Macaca fascicularis: one gene and its partners. The protein of the gene in region 1 purifies or fractionates together with the protein of each later gene. This does not show direct contact. Links are inferred from orthologs where the notes say so. Each region holds a gene or a part of one and is shown on either strand. Other genes may lie near its edges.

Region 1 (5,025 bases):
CCACTACTTCACTTACAGTTGCTCTTATCAAGGTCATTATCTTCATGTTGCCAAATCCAATGGGCACCTTGGTTCTTACCATAATGCCACTTATTAGTAGCATTTTACCCAGCAGATCACTCCTTTTTTCTTGAAAGACTTTCTTAGCTTTTATGATATCATAATCTCCTGGATTTCCAGCCACTTCACTGTCTTTCGTACTCTTCTGGCTCCTTTCCTGACACATGCCCACCTCAACATACTGGTGTGCCCCAGGACTTTGTCCTGCCTTCCATTCTCTTCTGTCTCTACTCCCTCCCTGGGTTATCTCAGTCAGTTCTATGGCCTTTAACACTGCCTATAAGTGTTACAAACAACTTCCGAATTTATTTCTCAAAGTCAGCCCTCTCCCTAGAATTTTAGACTTGTATTTCCAATTGCCTGCAGCTCCACATGGGTATCTAATGGGCATCTAAAACTTAGTATGACCAAAACAGAACTCTTGATATTCCCCCCACATCCTGGCAAATGGTACTTATTCTTGATTCCTTTCTTTGCCTCTCTAACCACATCTAAATGCACTGCAAGTCTTGTCAGCTACATCTCCAAATCCAGGTCGGCATCATCTCTCACCTTGACTATTTCAAGGGTTTCCTAACTAATCTCCCTGGAGTGGGTCTACACTTTTCTGGTCCAATCTTTACACAGAAGCTAATGTTTTTAGAAACATAAATCAGATCATATCACTCCCCTGCTTAAAATCTCCAAAGGCTTCCTTCCCTTTGACTGTGAGTCTACTTCAAGCTCTCTACTTTTGCTTACAGGCTCTTGGCAAAGTGGCCTTAGGCCACCTCTCTGACTCTATCTGTAGGATCCCGGCCCTCGGCCCTGTGTTCTAGCCACAAGAGCCTTCTTTCACTACCTCTGACACTCTAAACCTGCTTTCCCCTTGCTAAGGCTGTTCTCTCTGTTTGGAATGCTCTTTCCTCTGATGTTCCTATGGCTGGCTCCCTGTCCCTCAGATCTTGGCTTAAATGTCACCTTCTCAGAGGTCCACCTACTGGCTGCCCAATCTTAGTAGTCTACCAATGCTTCTTTCATGTTATCCTGTTTAAATTTTCTTCATTGTATTTACCATTCTTTGATAGTTTGGTTTACTTAACTTTTTGTTTTTTATCTTTCTTCCTCAACTTCAATATATCATGAAAGTAGGGACCTTGTCTTGCCTGGAACACAGTTAGAGCCTAATATGCTGAAATGAATGCATGCACACATGCTCTGTGACAACACTGAAGACAGATTTTCTTCTACTCTTCTCCTGTGCAGGACCTCCTTGGCTCACCAAAGACATAGGGCACTTCTCCAGCTCCTCTTCATTCTTGATCTGCACATCTGCGATGGAGATATACTTGTGCTGACAAAGATAAGAAGACATCAACAAGGGCTGAGGGCCTCATTCACATGTGTACCAATCTCTTACTTAAATTCCCCAAAAGCAAGGAAATGTTCTGCTTATGCGTTTGTCACCCCACATAGACATGAACTCTTTCAAGGCAGGAGTCTTAATCACCTCCGCATTATCAGCACCAGTCAAAGTGCTTTGTGCACAGTGTTTCTGTTTATTCTGTTTCTACATTCGCGGAAGAGCAGCAAATACGTAAGCATTTATCTTCAAACAAAGTGGAAGGGGAAGCCAGAAACAGGCCCCTGCCCCTGGACCACTGCCCTAAGAGTTTTGATGCGTGTGCATGTATGCACGGAGTGATGACTCCATGCATACAATGGATATAGAGCAGGCTCCTATTCAATCCTGGGCCTTTGGAAGTCAGTGGACTTATGGAGAGAGAGAAGTGAAAGGAAAAGAAGCAAGGAATGGGAAGAGAGAGAGAAGAATGGGAAGAGGAAAAAGAAATGAGAGGAAGAAAGGAGAATTTTAAAATCTACCTGAATATGGGAAACTGAGTAAGTAAAGAGAGACCTAAGTTTTCCTAACCGGCCAGAGGACTGCAGGGGGAATACAGAAGGTCCAGAAAGAGTCTGGTATAAAAGCCCCACCCGGGCTGGGCGCGGTGGCTCACGCCTGTAATCCCAGCACTTTGGGAGGCTGAGGCGGGCAGATCACAAGGTCAGGAGATCGAGACCATCCTGGCTAACACAGTGAAACCCCGTCTCTACTAAATATACAAAAAATTAGCCGGGCGAGGTGGCGGGCGCCTGTAGTCCCAGCTACTCGGGAGGCTGAGGCAGGAGAATGGCGTGAACCCGGGAGGCAGAGCTTGCAGTGAGCCGAGATCGCGCCACTGCACTCCAGCCTGGGGGACAGAGCAAGACTCTGTCTCAAAAAAAAAAAAAAAAAAAAGCCCCACCCAGTATCCAGGAGCCTGGTAATCTGACCTGCTTTGATGGCTCCCTATCCCTGAAGACTGAGAGCCCACCCTGGTCACCTGCTTTAGGGTCTTCACACTCTCATGGATGGGCCTGGGTAATCCAACCAATGTATCTGTGTCCCTGTAAAAGGCCAGACATACCAGATCATAAGCTTCCAAAGTACAGGGAACTACTGATACCCCAATATCCCCCTAGAGTCACACGGACCATGCTACTTTCAACAACATCTACCCCCAGTACCCTAGACCTTCCTCTGCAAGCTTGTAGATCCCACATCAGTGCTTCAGGACACAAAAATAATAATAGCACACAGAAATGTTCCTGGAAATCAGGAGACTTTTATAGTCTTTTGGGTACTCACTTGGTGTGGGAGTGGTAGATTCCTACTTAAAAGGGGTATAGCCCAATGACATCTTGACTGTGAAACTCCACTAATAAAGACTCAATTTTCAAGAGGTCAGTGGGAAGGATTCATGAAGATGGGGAAATGGGGGAAGATTGGATCCGTTCTAACCATGTCTCTTCTTCACAGAATTTTAGCCCATTTGAGCAGGAAGGGCCCATAGAAACCATCTAACTCAATAACCTCAGGAAAAAATTAAGGCCCAAAAGAGAAAGGACTTGTTGCTCAAAGTCCTACAGTTGGCAAAAAACACAAAAGTTCTTTGAGGAAAAGTGGAAGAAACTCAAGGAAAAAAAAAAATCCATAGAAAGAACCCAAAGTAGTCACTGGGAGTTGTCCATGGCCTAGGGGCTCTAGGTTACATTATGACTACCAAGCACCATCCCTCATTCCAAGCTACCTGCTCCTCTGGCCCCTAGGAACCACTCTATAGCCAGTTCCAACCAGTCACTTACTGCCCCAGGGTGAATCCGATGAACTTGTTCCTGCTCATCTCCAAGAAGTGCTCAATGTCCTTCTGTCTGAGAAGATGGTGGAAAGACCAATCCCAGAGAAGGGAAGAAAAGCAAACTTTGAGAGAGAGAAACTTTCCAGGCTCCTACCCCTCCAATCAGAGGACTGGAGCGGTGGAAAAAGGCAGCAATCAACAGAAGGAATTTCAAACCCAGGAGTTCTGACTGCCAGACCAACTTAACGAGCCTTGAATACATAGACTACTCCATCTTGGGCCTTTAGAGACTGAAACCCCAAAGCATAGGGGTCCCTGATGCTATTAAACCTACCTGACCTTTGGGGCCCAGGGCAGGCCCTTGGGAAAAGTCACCCGCTCAGCAGAGAGGGGTGCCTCTGAGGGTGGAGGTGGCACCAGAGGGTCCTGCTCTAGCAGGTCTAGCTCTCCATCCAAGGTTCGTTCTCCATCACCAGCAGACTCCTCTTCCTCCTCTGTGGCTGGCTCCTCAGTCTTGAAGAGATCCCTTTCATTGTAGATGTCCAGGCTGTCCTGCTTAGTGAGGAGTTGCTGGAGGGGAAAGAAAAGAGGGTAGGCGTGCAGAGAGCTCACTCTGGGCATCCTTGTCTGAGGCCACCCCATATCCACAGACCTCCAGATTTCAGGGAACATGGAATCTGAACACAGCCCTTGTGAAAACATCCAATTCCCCATCTCAACCCTACTGTCCCCACCCGAACCAATAACAGAACAAGAAGTTCTCAGGCAACCCTGCCATTAGCCAGGGAACAGAGCATAGATAATCCCAAAGTCAGTTACTTAGCTTTCAGAAAGCAGTGATGCCTTTTTTTGCCAGCACTTTCCTTCCTAATTATGCTCTGCTTAGGTGAACATTCAATTAGTTTGCCTTCTGTGAGCATACACCAGCTGGCTGACTGAGGAAGAGGAGGACAGAAGCTTGCTGCTAGGCAGAGGGAAGCAAGTTTGGAATTTTAAATCTTGTGACAGAGAAAAAAAGATTGGACAGAAATAGGCCAAAAAGTTAACAGTGACTGTCTCTGGTTGTTAAGATTGTGGGTGATTTTTCTTTTCTCCCGTCATCACATTTTTATATTTGTTCCAAATTTTCTACAATGAGTAAGCATTACTTTATAAAACAAAAATAAAGGTTAAAAAATTTTATTGCAGATAACGGAGATTGGATTACTGAGCACTACTGTCTAGCCTGTTGATGAACTCAAGTAGGTCAGGCAGGGGAGTTTGTAAGAACATAGTCAGGTCTCAGTATAACCTGTCATTCTGACCTTTTTAGGACAGCAGACTACAGTCATGTGCTGCACAACGATGCTTCAGTCAACAATGGACTGCATACATAATTGTGGACCCATAAGATTATAATACTGTATTTTTACTGTGCCTTTTCTAGGCTGAGATACACAAACACCATTGGGTTACAATTGCATATGGTATTCGGTATGGTAACCTGCTGTACAGGTTTGTAGTCTAGGAACAATAGGGTATATACCTAGGTATGCAGTAGGCTATGCCATCTGGGTTTGTGTAAGTACACTCTATGATGTTTGCTCAGTGACAAAATTGCATAATGACACATATTTCAGATTGTATCCCTGTCGTTAAGTGTCACACGGTTATATACATAGACCCCTACCCAGTCATCTCTTAAATGTAAGCCTTTGGTTCCGGGGCCAGTTAAGAGTATGGCTGGCTGACAGTAAACCTTCCTGCTGCTTCAAAATAGTAAAATGCCTTACCCCAGAAAAATGGATTAGGTTGGAGACCTGTTCCA
Region 2 (5,025 bases), on another chromosome or scaffold:
TTCTTGGTTTTAGGCAATTCAGGTTAGTTTTAATAACAACAAAAAAATGATTTTATTAAAAGTAATTCTCAGGTTCTCTAGGACAGCCAACAAACAAGAATTAGAGGTTACAGGCCAGGCATGGTGGTTCACGCCTGTAATCCCAGCACTTTGGGAGGCCAAGGCGGGCGGATCACCTGAGGTCAGAAGTTCGAGACCAGCCTGGCCAACATGGAGAAACCCCATCTCTACTAAAAATACAAAAATTAGCTGTGCATGGTGGTGGGCACTTGTAATCCCAGCCACTTGGGAGGCTGAGGCAGGAGAATTGCTTGAACCCAGGAGGTGGAGGTTGCAGTGACTTGAGATAGTGCTACTGCACTCCAGCCTGGGTAACAGAGCAAGACTGTCCCCCCCCCCAAAAAAAAATAGAATTAGAGGTTATCATTAAACCACTTTTGCTGCTCCTCTGTGGAGATGAATGCAGTAGTGTTGTTAGTCACCATTTTCAAAGGAATCTGCATGGTTCCCTGCTTCTTTGTATCACTAACTTTAAAGTTGAAGGCAGATGTTTCTTCCTTAGCTGCAAAGGAGGCTGATAAAACATTTACCTGGTACTTTCAAATTCTTTAGGAGGGAGGAATGCTCTGCCTTATTAGGTGAGGGATTCCCTAAACACAGGATTTAGGATATTGGGCAGCCAAAAGAGAAATGACAGATGTCTGCTACAGCCCATTCTCTTGGCCATTCAATATCAACATACTTCTTCAGCTAATTCTTCCAAAACTATATTCAAAGGGAAAGGACTTGACAATGTTAACAGTCACAGACATGTAACAGTCACAGACACTGTTAGTTGCTTTCTCAATATTCTTTCTTCTTGCTAATACTGATTTTATTTGGGACAGCTATGTACCCTGCTTTCTTTGCAGGTACCAGTGGCCATTTAACTGGTCAGGCAAGTAAGTCAAGGGGGAATCCATTTGGAATTTCTGGGAAAGCTTTGCTTTCCCTCATAAAAGGGGAATATATATAGCTGGCACAGGCCATTTCCATTTTTTCTTCCTTGCCTTCAACATGGGCATGACACTTGGCTAGTCAACAACTTTCTAGCAAACACAAGAAAACAGCATGAGGGATGAAAGCCAATATGGTAAGGAGGCAGATCTGAAAGACAGAACTGCACCTTTTCCTGTATATAGTAAGAGTCACTGATTATACATTATTCCTTTCAGTTGAATGCACACATACTCTCAGCCACGCCATTCTAGAAAATAATAATATCTCATTAGTTAAGACTCCATTTATTGAAGTCATAATACTTTCTAATATATGAGCTGTGGTGTTTCTTTTGCACTGATAAAAACAGATTTTGCTAATTAAGAACCACTTGAACTCCCAGCAGTATTTGGCATTTAGGCATCTCAAGTTAGTTAGTGATTAAAAATGAGCTTAAGACTGTCTGGGTTTGAATCTTGGTTCCAGTTTGGACAAATAACCACCTCCTTGTGCCTGAGTATCTGCAAAATGAGGTACAGTTAAAATGGAGATTATATAATATAGTACCTGACAAGACAGTAAAGCACTCAATAGATGGTAGCCATTATTGGCAATACCATACATACTTTGCTTTTATGGCACCAAAGTTTTCTATTTCTCTCCTACCCATTTATTATCTCTATTGAATTCTCAAGTTTAAAGTCCCTCTTCTGTATCCTATACATACTTACATAATGGATTTATCACACTGCATTATAATTATATATATACTTGTCTCCTGTACCAGACTTTTTCATTTTTAAAATCATAAGTATTAATGAAGTGGTTGGCACATAGACTATTTTCTTTTTAATTTTTTAGAGTGCTAACTATTACACAATGGGGCCTAGACTAGACATTTTTAAATTAGTGTCTTCAGGAATTCTTTGGGATGATTAGAATATAAATTCTTGAACTCCATCACCAAATTTCTATTTCAGTGGGTCAGGGAACCACATTTTGAAGAACACTAAAATAGACCTTTAATGTTTGAATCAAATTATGCATAAGGTATTAATATAAGAATCATATATAAGATATGGATATAATACTACACTAATATAAGGTACTATTTGTAGAGTTATACACTGCTGAATATACTGTGCTAATTACAAAGTATGTATGACTCTTGTGAGGACCACTTGACAAGGTTGCTATATATATATATACGTAAAAAAACACTGCACTTCCTAATTTGACTTATTACTGAATAAAATCAGCTAATCTTCTCAAAATGCAGTTTTTGTTAGAAAATGTAATTTTGAACTAAGATTTTTGCAAACCAGGCAAGTTCTTCATCCACTGAAAGAGAAACTTTAAAATCCACTTAAAATGAAAAGCATTCCTCCCCCACTCAATTTTCTAACTACACATTATCTTCATAGCATTAACACCAGCCAGAATTTATATTATGTAGGGCACTAAAAGCTTCTTAGACTTGTACCTCAGGCTTTTAATTTCTCAGGGGGAAAAGTTAATATATAGATTTATCCTGACACTTGAGATATAAAGAACTTTATAAACAGCTCTAAAGGAACATAAAGCAGATAAAGGGACACCATATTATACCTTAATTTGATTACTTCATCATTTTCGCTGAAATCTGGCCATGGTAAGTTTGGCCATAGCTGCCAAATGGCATAGAGTACCTGCCTCTTGAATGGATTTATGGGTCACTTAAGGTATACTTCAAGGCAGATGGCTGGGCTAACAGTTTCCTTACTTACTCTTGGGAAATGAAATAAAAAATGCTCACACTTGGAGGTGTTTTTTTGTCAAATTCTATGCAGGATATCGAACAGAAATTTGAAAAATTCTTAAATGACATATACCTATTCATTAACACCCACTGCTCTAGATGACATCCATTAGTTATTACTGGGATCAGATGCTTTTAGGACATCTTTGGAAGATTTTGTTTTAACTGTAGTTCTTTATAGCATTACAAAAGAAATATATCACATAAAGCACTAACAACTCTTTTTAATACTGTGTCTCTCCCATGCAGTATGGTGCTTAATGTTACTGGAAACTATTGACAGGTTTAGCATTATTTCAATTAATTCTGGGCAAATCTAAATAGAATAGTATAACACGAAGAATTTATAAATTTGAAATGTGAGTAAACTGAGATGGGAATGAGTTGATGAGTGAACCCAGCTGACCACTGAGCATTTGAATCTCAATGTTGTCTACACAGCATTATGAGTGTAATAATTTTCATTAGGTAACAAAACTGCTTCCTCACCTTTTTATATAGCTTTAAAAAAACAGAAAAAAGACAAAAAAAAAACAAAAAAAAAAACAAAAAACACAACTGCTTCTATGTAAAAAAAAAAAAAAAAAAAAAAGCAAGCCAACTACCTATTAGTGCTAGGACTGAAAGACATCCAATCCAAGTAAGTGATGGTTCTTGATTATAAAATGGAAATTGTATAAAAATTAAAATAGAATATAGAACTAATACGATAACATTGAAAAACTGACTACTTATATTTGGTTTTTTGATTTTTTGTGTTTTTTTGGCTGATTATATTTAATAAAAGCTACTTTTAGTATTTGAACTAAGTGCACGTGTGCATGCGCATACACAGGACAAGCTCCTCAGCTTTGAACAGTATGAACTTTGAACAATACGACAACTATAGTATCACTGGGGAAAAAAATAGCTGACTTATTTCCAAGTACGTTTCCTGGGACTAGCAGTAGGTTCTCTCAAATTAAAAGTAAAGGCACCAGGCTATAAAGTGCCAATTCTTAGCACCAGAGAGACTTAAAACTTCACAGGTGAATGACATTACAAATCAGAGAATCTGCTGACCTAGTTCTGTGGAATTGTATTATTTTGTCAAATGGAAAAAAAAAAAATCAGGGTTTATGCCAAATAGATTTAAAAAGTTAAATCTTTCCTAAAATTTCCTAGAAGTGTATTTTACAATGCTATATAAAATAAAATTGCTGGCTTATAAAAAAATGCTCAAAGTTTCAAAGATGTGAAAAATAACAATGAACTGAAAACATAGTTTATATAAATCAAAGTCCCAGAAATGAAAATTAAAAGTAGTCTCTTTGAGAAAGGAATGGTGAAATTCAGCATGTATTCATATTAACACATCTGAGAACCGTGGACAGCCATTATTGACTGGAATTCTAAATTGCCACCTGATACCTTTAATTAAGATTAAATCAAATCTGAGGCAAGACACTTAATGGACAGTACTTGAATGGGAAGATAGTAACTTCCTTCCTTGATAGACAATCTCCAGCCATCATTCAGAGTTCAGTTATTTGATGGCTTGGGAAGCAGTGTCCATTGAGTTTTCCTTTCTGGCTTGAAGAGACTCACTGCTAATGGACAATAATTCTCGAAGTTCCTTATTTTCAAGCTGGAAAAAAAAAAGGCATGTTTATTTCTGGTATATTTACTGTCAAGCTGCATTACAACAACACATTATTTTGAGCCAGGAGCAGAAAACATTATTTTTAATTTAAAAAATTTTAAGGAAACAAAAAACCCACTAGTTGAGAATTTCCTTAAATACTACTTATTTATTCATTTAACAAACATTTACATGTAGGATGTAGGCAATGATACTCTTTTGTAGTAGTAATTTACTGAGTAATTTCTATATACCAAGTGTTACAATTACAAAGGAGAAACAAAAAACAGGGTCCCTCTCCATTTGAGGAATTCACTATGTTTTATTCTTCATGGTTCCCACAGTTTTACTATTATTTCTTTTATTTAAAAAATTCCTAATAATCGTTTCACTCTGATTAATCTCCTCTCCTGGATATCTTATAGTTCCAGAGAAATGGAAGGAAAGGGGGAAAGAAATTACTTATTGAGCATGTAGCTGGGTACTACTTGGGTGCCCTGTATATGCTATCTCACAATGATCTGTAGGGTAGGTATCATTGCCTACATCCATGTATTTCATGAGGATGCTCTGGCTCACAAAATTCCTAAAAGTTGTCCAAATTCAGACAACTTGGATGTGGTATTAC
Region 3 (5,522 bases), on another chromosome or scaffold:
CAGCCTCCCAAAATGCTGGGATTACAGGCGTGAGCCACCGTGCCCGGCCAATGGATAGTATCTCAGCACTCACAACCAACCCAGGAGGATTGGGACATATCATCTCTGCCATAAGGAATCAGAGGCGCAGAAAGACTGACAGCTAGCAAGCTGTGAAGGAGGACTGGAACTCAGACAGGATGAACGCTACACTTGTTATGTATCAACAAGGAGGATAGGGGTAGAGATATAAAACGGAACTAGAAACTAAGGTCAGAAAACATATATATGTATATATACACATGCACACACAAACCACAAAACTAGGTCATAGCTGCCAGAAGAGGGTTGCAAAACTAAGCACGGCTCAAAAGAGTAGAGATATGAGTATTATCACACTTCTCCATCCCACTGGCAACTCCATCAATGGGGGAAGAGAACAAAGATGAATGAATTTCACTAACAAATTCATGTTTTGTGGGTGAGTACAAATATTCAAAGAAAAAAAAAGGGCTGGGAGTGATGGCTCACTCCTGCAATCCCTGTACTTTGGAAGGCCAAGGCGGGAGGATCGCTTGAGCCTGGGAGTTCAAGGCCAGTTTGGGGAACATGGTGAGACCCCATACAAAAAAATATTATCCCGGTGCAGTGACACATGCCTGTGGTCCCAGCTACTTGAGAGGCTGAAGTGGGAGGGTCCCTTGGGCTCCAGAGGTCGAGGCTGCAGTGAGCAGTGACTGCCCCATTGCACTCCAGCCTGACTGATACACCAAGACTGCATCTTAAAAAGAAAAAAAAAAAGCTAGTAAGATACAAGAGATAATCTTAAATATACCTGTGAAGTCCTAGGAACTGTTAGTTTGATTTATTTAGGAGCCGAAGTAAAAATAATCTCTCGACAAATACAGAAAGCTTCCTCAAGTGATCGTTGACACTCCGGTGTGATTATTTCAAAGTACAGCAGTGGTACAATATTCTTCTCTAGGAGTTCACCTTAAAATTATTAGAAAGTCAATGGGGACTGTGCACGAGGCTCGTGCCTGTAATCCCAGCACTTTGGGAGGCTGAGGGATCACTTGAGGTCAGGAGTTCTAGACCAGCCTGGCCAACAAAGCGAAACCCCATCTCTACTAAAAATACAAAAATTAGCAGTGCATGGCAGCGTGTACCTGTAATCCCAGTTACTCGGGAAGCTGAGGCAGGAGGATCCCTTGAACCCAGGAGGTGGAGGTTGCAGTGAGCAGAGATGGCACTACTGCACTCCAGTCTGGGCTACAGAGTGAGACTCTGTCTCAAAACAAAAATAAAACAAAAAAAAGAGTCAATGGAAAAAACTGATTCAACTAACACTTTGCCCTTAACTTCAAGTCTGTATTCTGATGCTCGTAGTCAGGTTAACTGACTCAGCTCATTTCAAACCTGTACATTTCACTTGGCATTGGAGCTTGAGAGAGATGTTTAAAGCATACATTTTAAGCCTCATGAAATTACAGGTTATCACAATAAAAATGAACGTCGACTGAAGTCACAAGTAAGCAGTTTGTTTCAGAAAGAGAAAAGTACCACCTGCTTGGCACTTCTATATACAAAAATAAATCCTCCTGTGTTAACAGTTACTTAATACACAAAGGCCCCAGCCAACATTACACCCGTTAAAAATACTATTTTAACTTAACACCATCTATTAGTGCTCCTTTCCTAAGTAAATTTCATGATTTTAAGAGTGTCCTAAAATTAGACTAACAAAATCTTTTCTTCACCTACTTCTGCGACGTCATGACTTCCAAACATTATGGTTAAGAAAATTGTATACATTACATCTTAAAATAACATCTTTACTTCTTCATGGACTTCAAGTGAGAATTTTTAACATAAAAATACATGAAAATTATTTAGTCCACCTTGTAAAGGATGAATTTGGAAAACTCTAGACTTTAAAGATGGAGAGATCGAAATAATTCCAGGAGTTAAGAAAACAATGGATACAGAATTCAGAAAGTGAAGATCACACACGATGTACAAGAACGAAATTGATCACCTGCATGTTTTATTATTCTTTGGAAAAGAAAAAAACTTTATATATATTAAAAACAAAAATAACTTTCTGCAAAGTGTTATCGTGCATGAAAACACACATCCCATTTATTTCCAGCAAACACTGTTCCCAAACTTAAGACCAGCTCTCGTTTCTGAATCAACGCTTTACTTCCAAGAGCCGCTCAACGCAAAGACCAGTCACCATCTGTTTCCACCAAAGTCAACCTCTATTTTAAAAATCACAGTTGGCCATCACGCCTACCTCTCCACAAACAAACGCTTGACACATTCAAGAGTCAGTGATTTTTTTTTTTTTTTTTTTTTGAGACAAGGTCTCGCTCTGTCGCCCAGGCTGGAGTGCAGTGACGCGATCTCGGCTCACTGCAGCCAGCCTCCACCTCCTGGGCTCAAGCGATCCTCCCACCTCAGCCTCCTGAATAGTTGAGATTACAGGCACCCGCCCTCACGCCCTGCTAATTTTTTAAAAAAAATTTTTGTGGAGACGGGGCCTCACTGGTCTCTAACTTCTGCGCTCCAGGCTGGTCTTTAACTCCTGGGCTCAAGCAATCCTCCCGCTTCGGCCTCCCGAGTAGCTGTGACCACAGGCGTGAGCCACCGCGCCCGGCTTGAGTTAGTGATTTCCGAGGTGCCCCGTTCACCTGACAAAAATTCTACATTTATTAACAAGTTCATTAATAGGCACGACATTCTGGTTAATTTTAGGTGCATTTTCAGAAACTGGTCTGAAAATGGTCCTTTTTCGGATGTCGCTTTCGTTATTCCACTCGGGAAATGCCAGAGTGGCAGGAACTCCAGTGGAGCGCAGGCGACCCCGACCAACCTCCGGCTTGGCTCCGGGGGCTATGGTTCCCCGCCCGCCCGCCCGCACTCGAGCCTCCCACCACCAGGATCTGGGCCGGGGGCGTGGGGCGTGTACCACGCGGAGGCAGAGGGGCCGGGCGAGGGCAGCCCAACGCCCCGGGGCCGGAACGGCTGGGCCGGCCGCCCGGGTGGACGCCGGAGCCGGACCCACAGCCCCGCGGGCCCCCGGTGGGCCGCGCCGGGCCCGGGGCCAGCGTGCGGACGGGCCGGGGCGGGCAGGAAAGCTGCGGCCCGTCCCAGTTCCGCGCTCCCGCACTCGCCCCCGCGGCGCCCTCACCTTCTCGCACAGCGTCCGCACTTGGTTCTCGTTCAGCTGCTTACACTCGTTCAGCTGCTCGACCCACTGGTCCAGCTCCTTGGTGAACGCCTTGTCGTCCATGGCGGCCCGATCCCGATGCGGATCCCGACCCCCGGCCCGGCCGCTGCCCTCCCCCCTCCCCACCCGCCCCCGGCCCCGGCCCGGGCGCCGCTCCCCTCTCCCTCAGCCGCCGTCGCCAGATCCCACAAGGGGAGGACCGAGCCGGGGAGGGCGGCCGCGGTCCCCGCGCCCCGCCCAAGCCCAGCAGGCGGCTCCGAGCGCGAGGCCTGTAGGAGACCCCCGCCCGCCCTTCCCCGCCCGGCCGCGCGCCGCAGGAGTCGGTGAAGGACGCGGGGAGGTGCTGGGAGGGCGGCGCGGGCCCTCGGACTAGCTCTCGCCGGACGAAGGCCGCCAGCTACCGCTTCAGGCCCGCCTCACGCCTGCCGGCCTCTCCCGGGTATCTTTCCCCTTCTCTCGCTCTTTCTCTTCCCTCCCTCCGGGTTTCCGTCATCGCTCGGGCATTTCCGCCGGGAAAAGGCGAGCAGGCGGCGGCGCCGCCGGGACACGGCGCGCTAGGGGCAGAACGGCGCCCTCGCGTGGCTTGGCGGAGAAACGGTCGGAGGAGGCCAGGATCCCTCCTGTCCCAACCCTGCCCAAGACCAAGCTCTGCTGGTTCTCCCTTTAGATATCCTGATCTCCGGGAACTTTGTCCTCACTTTAGCTTCCTGCAGTGCTTTTTCAGTGCTCGGAACAGGGAATTGGAAAACTTGGGCTTCCCTTAACATTGTCTCCCCAGAGTCTAGCACTCAATAGTAGGCATTCAATAATGGTGGAGTAAATTAATTATTTCCAGGCTTGCCTGTAGCCCTAACATCTTGAATCCTCCCTTTCAACATTAGAAAAGTGAAATGATTGCTCTGTAGGATAATCTGTGGCCCTTCTAGCTCCAGCGCTCTTGGCTGTGTTTTCTGCAATGTGTACTGAGTTGTAATGATTTGTTCATTCAACAAATATTTATTGAGTGAGACACAGCAGGGACCCCTCTTAGGGGCCTTCTAGGCACTCCCACCCCCACCCTCCCCAAGCATGGAAATAAAGGAAAATCTTGAGTTCCCCGAAGGGACATTCCAGGCACCTAACTTCCTCAATAAGTCAATGAGCAACCTGATAAGCAAGAAGGTAATAATAGCTTAAGACAGTAGCCAAGGACGTTAGATTCACAAAATGTTTGCTTCCCTATATAAACTGGAGACAACATATGTCCCTGAGTTGTTTTTCAGAAACCTGGACCTCACCAAATGGAAAATGGTGTCCACTATCATGGAGATCTCAAACTACCTATCTTTGTTCTAAATTTCTTCCTGAGGAGCCTGGAAGAATTCTCAAAGCTTTGCCTCCTTAGCCAATTACAAATCAGAAAATCTTTGAATCCACTTATGACCTGTGGGTCCCTACTTCAGATATCCTGGCTTTTTAGATCAAACCCACGTATAGCCTCCATGTATTGATTTATGACTTTGCCTGTAACATCTGCCTCCCTGCCTTTAAAAACCCTTACCTGTGCTGGGTGCAAGGGCTCATGCCTGTAATCCCAGCACTTTGGGAGGCCGAGGCCAGGAGTTGGAGACCAGCCTGCCAACATTGTGAAACCCCTTCTCTACTAAAAATACAAAAACTTCCTGGGCATGGTGGCAGGCGCCTGTACTCAGGAGGCTGAGGCAGATGAATTACTTGAAATCAGGAGATGGAGGTTGCAGTGAGCTGAGATCTCGCCATTGCACTCCAGCCTGGGTGACAAGAGCGAAACTCCATTTCAAAAAAAAAAAAAAAAAGCACACAAAAAACCTCTTACCTGTAAACCATCAGGGAGTTGGGGTCTTAAGCATGAGCTGCCTGATTCTTCTTGGTTGGTGTGATGCAATAAATGCCTCCCTTTCACTGCAAACCCCAATGTCAGTGTTTGGCTTTGCTATGCTGGTGGGAGGACCTAAATTCAGTTACGTAACATGAGCAACTGCTAGCTACCAGATACCTTGAATAGCAAGTGCTAAATGATCATACTGTGTCTATTAAAGGTACATATTACTGCAGCTGACCCAAGCGGAAGGTAACATCCTGTATCAGAAAGCAAGGGTTCTTGTGTTTGCTAACCCCCTAGCTATGTCCTTGGGCAATCATCAAACCTCCTTAAGCCTCAAATTCTTCATCTGATAAAATCAGTAAAAGGCCTACCTTTGTGAAGATTAAGTTTTAAAAGTTCCTGCCCAATAGTACCATATGGGAGCGATATGTTAGTTACCTTATCCCTCCTAGGGAACAATTACAG

What was found.
Region 2: the proteins of STRIP2 (region 1) and SIKE1 purify together in Homo sapiens (affinity purification with mass spectrometry; 3 studies listed by BioGRID and IntAct, with this or other methods). This does not show direct contact. The link is inferred for Macaca fascicularis from reciprocal best matches to the Homo sapiens genes STRIP2 and SIKE1.
Region 3: the proteins of STRIP2 (region 1) and PPP2CB purify together in Homo sapiens (affinity purification with mass spectrometry; 3 studies listed by BioGRID and IntAct, counting the BioPlex papers as one, with this or other methods). This does not show direct contact. The link is inferred for Macaca fascicularis from reciprocal best matches to the Homo sapiens genes STRIP2 and PPP2CB.

What each region holds. Positions count from the first base shown.
Region 1 is NC_088377.1:170,926,827-170,931,851, reverse strand, and holds part of STRIP2 (striatin-interacting protein 2), read right to left. Parts: intron 3,789-5,025; coding exon 3,553-3,788; intron 3,292-3,552; coding exon 3,226-3,291; intron 2,488-3,225; coding exon 2,424-2,487; intron 1,394-2,423; coding exon 1,322-1,393; intron 1-1,321. UniProt on the Homo sapiens protein: Plays a role in the regulation of cell morphology and cytoskeletal organization. Required in the control of cell shape. Calmodulin-binding scaffolding protein which is the center of the striatin-interacting phosphatase and kinase (STRIPAK) complexes.
Region 2 is NC_088375.1:119,597,901-119,602,925, reverse strand, and holds part of SIKE1 (suppressor of IKBKE 1), read right to left. Parts: intron 4,404-5,025; coding exon 4,302-4,403; 3' UTR 1-4,301.
Region 3 is NC_088382.1:34,023,480-34,029,001, forward strand, and holds the start of PPP2CB (serine/threonine-protein phosphatase 2A catalytic subunit beta isoform), read right to left. Parts: upstream 3,688-5,522; 5' UTR 3,278-3,687; coding exon 3,176-3,277; intron 1-3,175.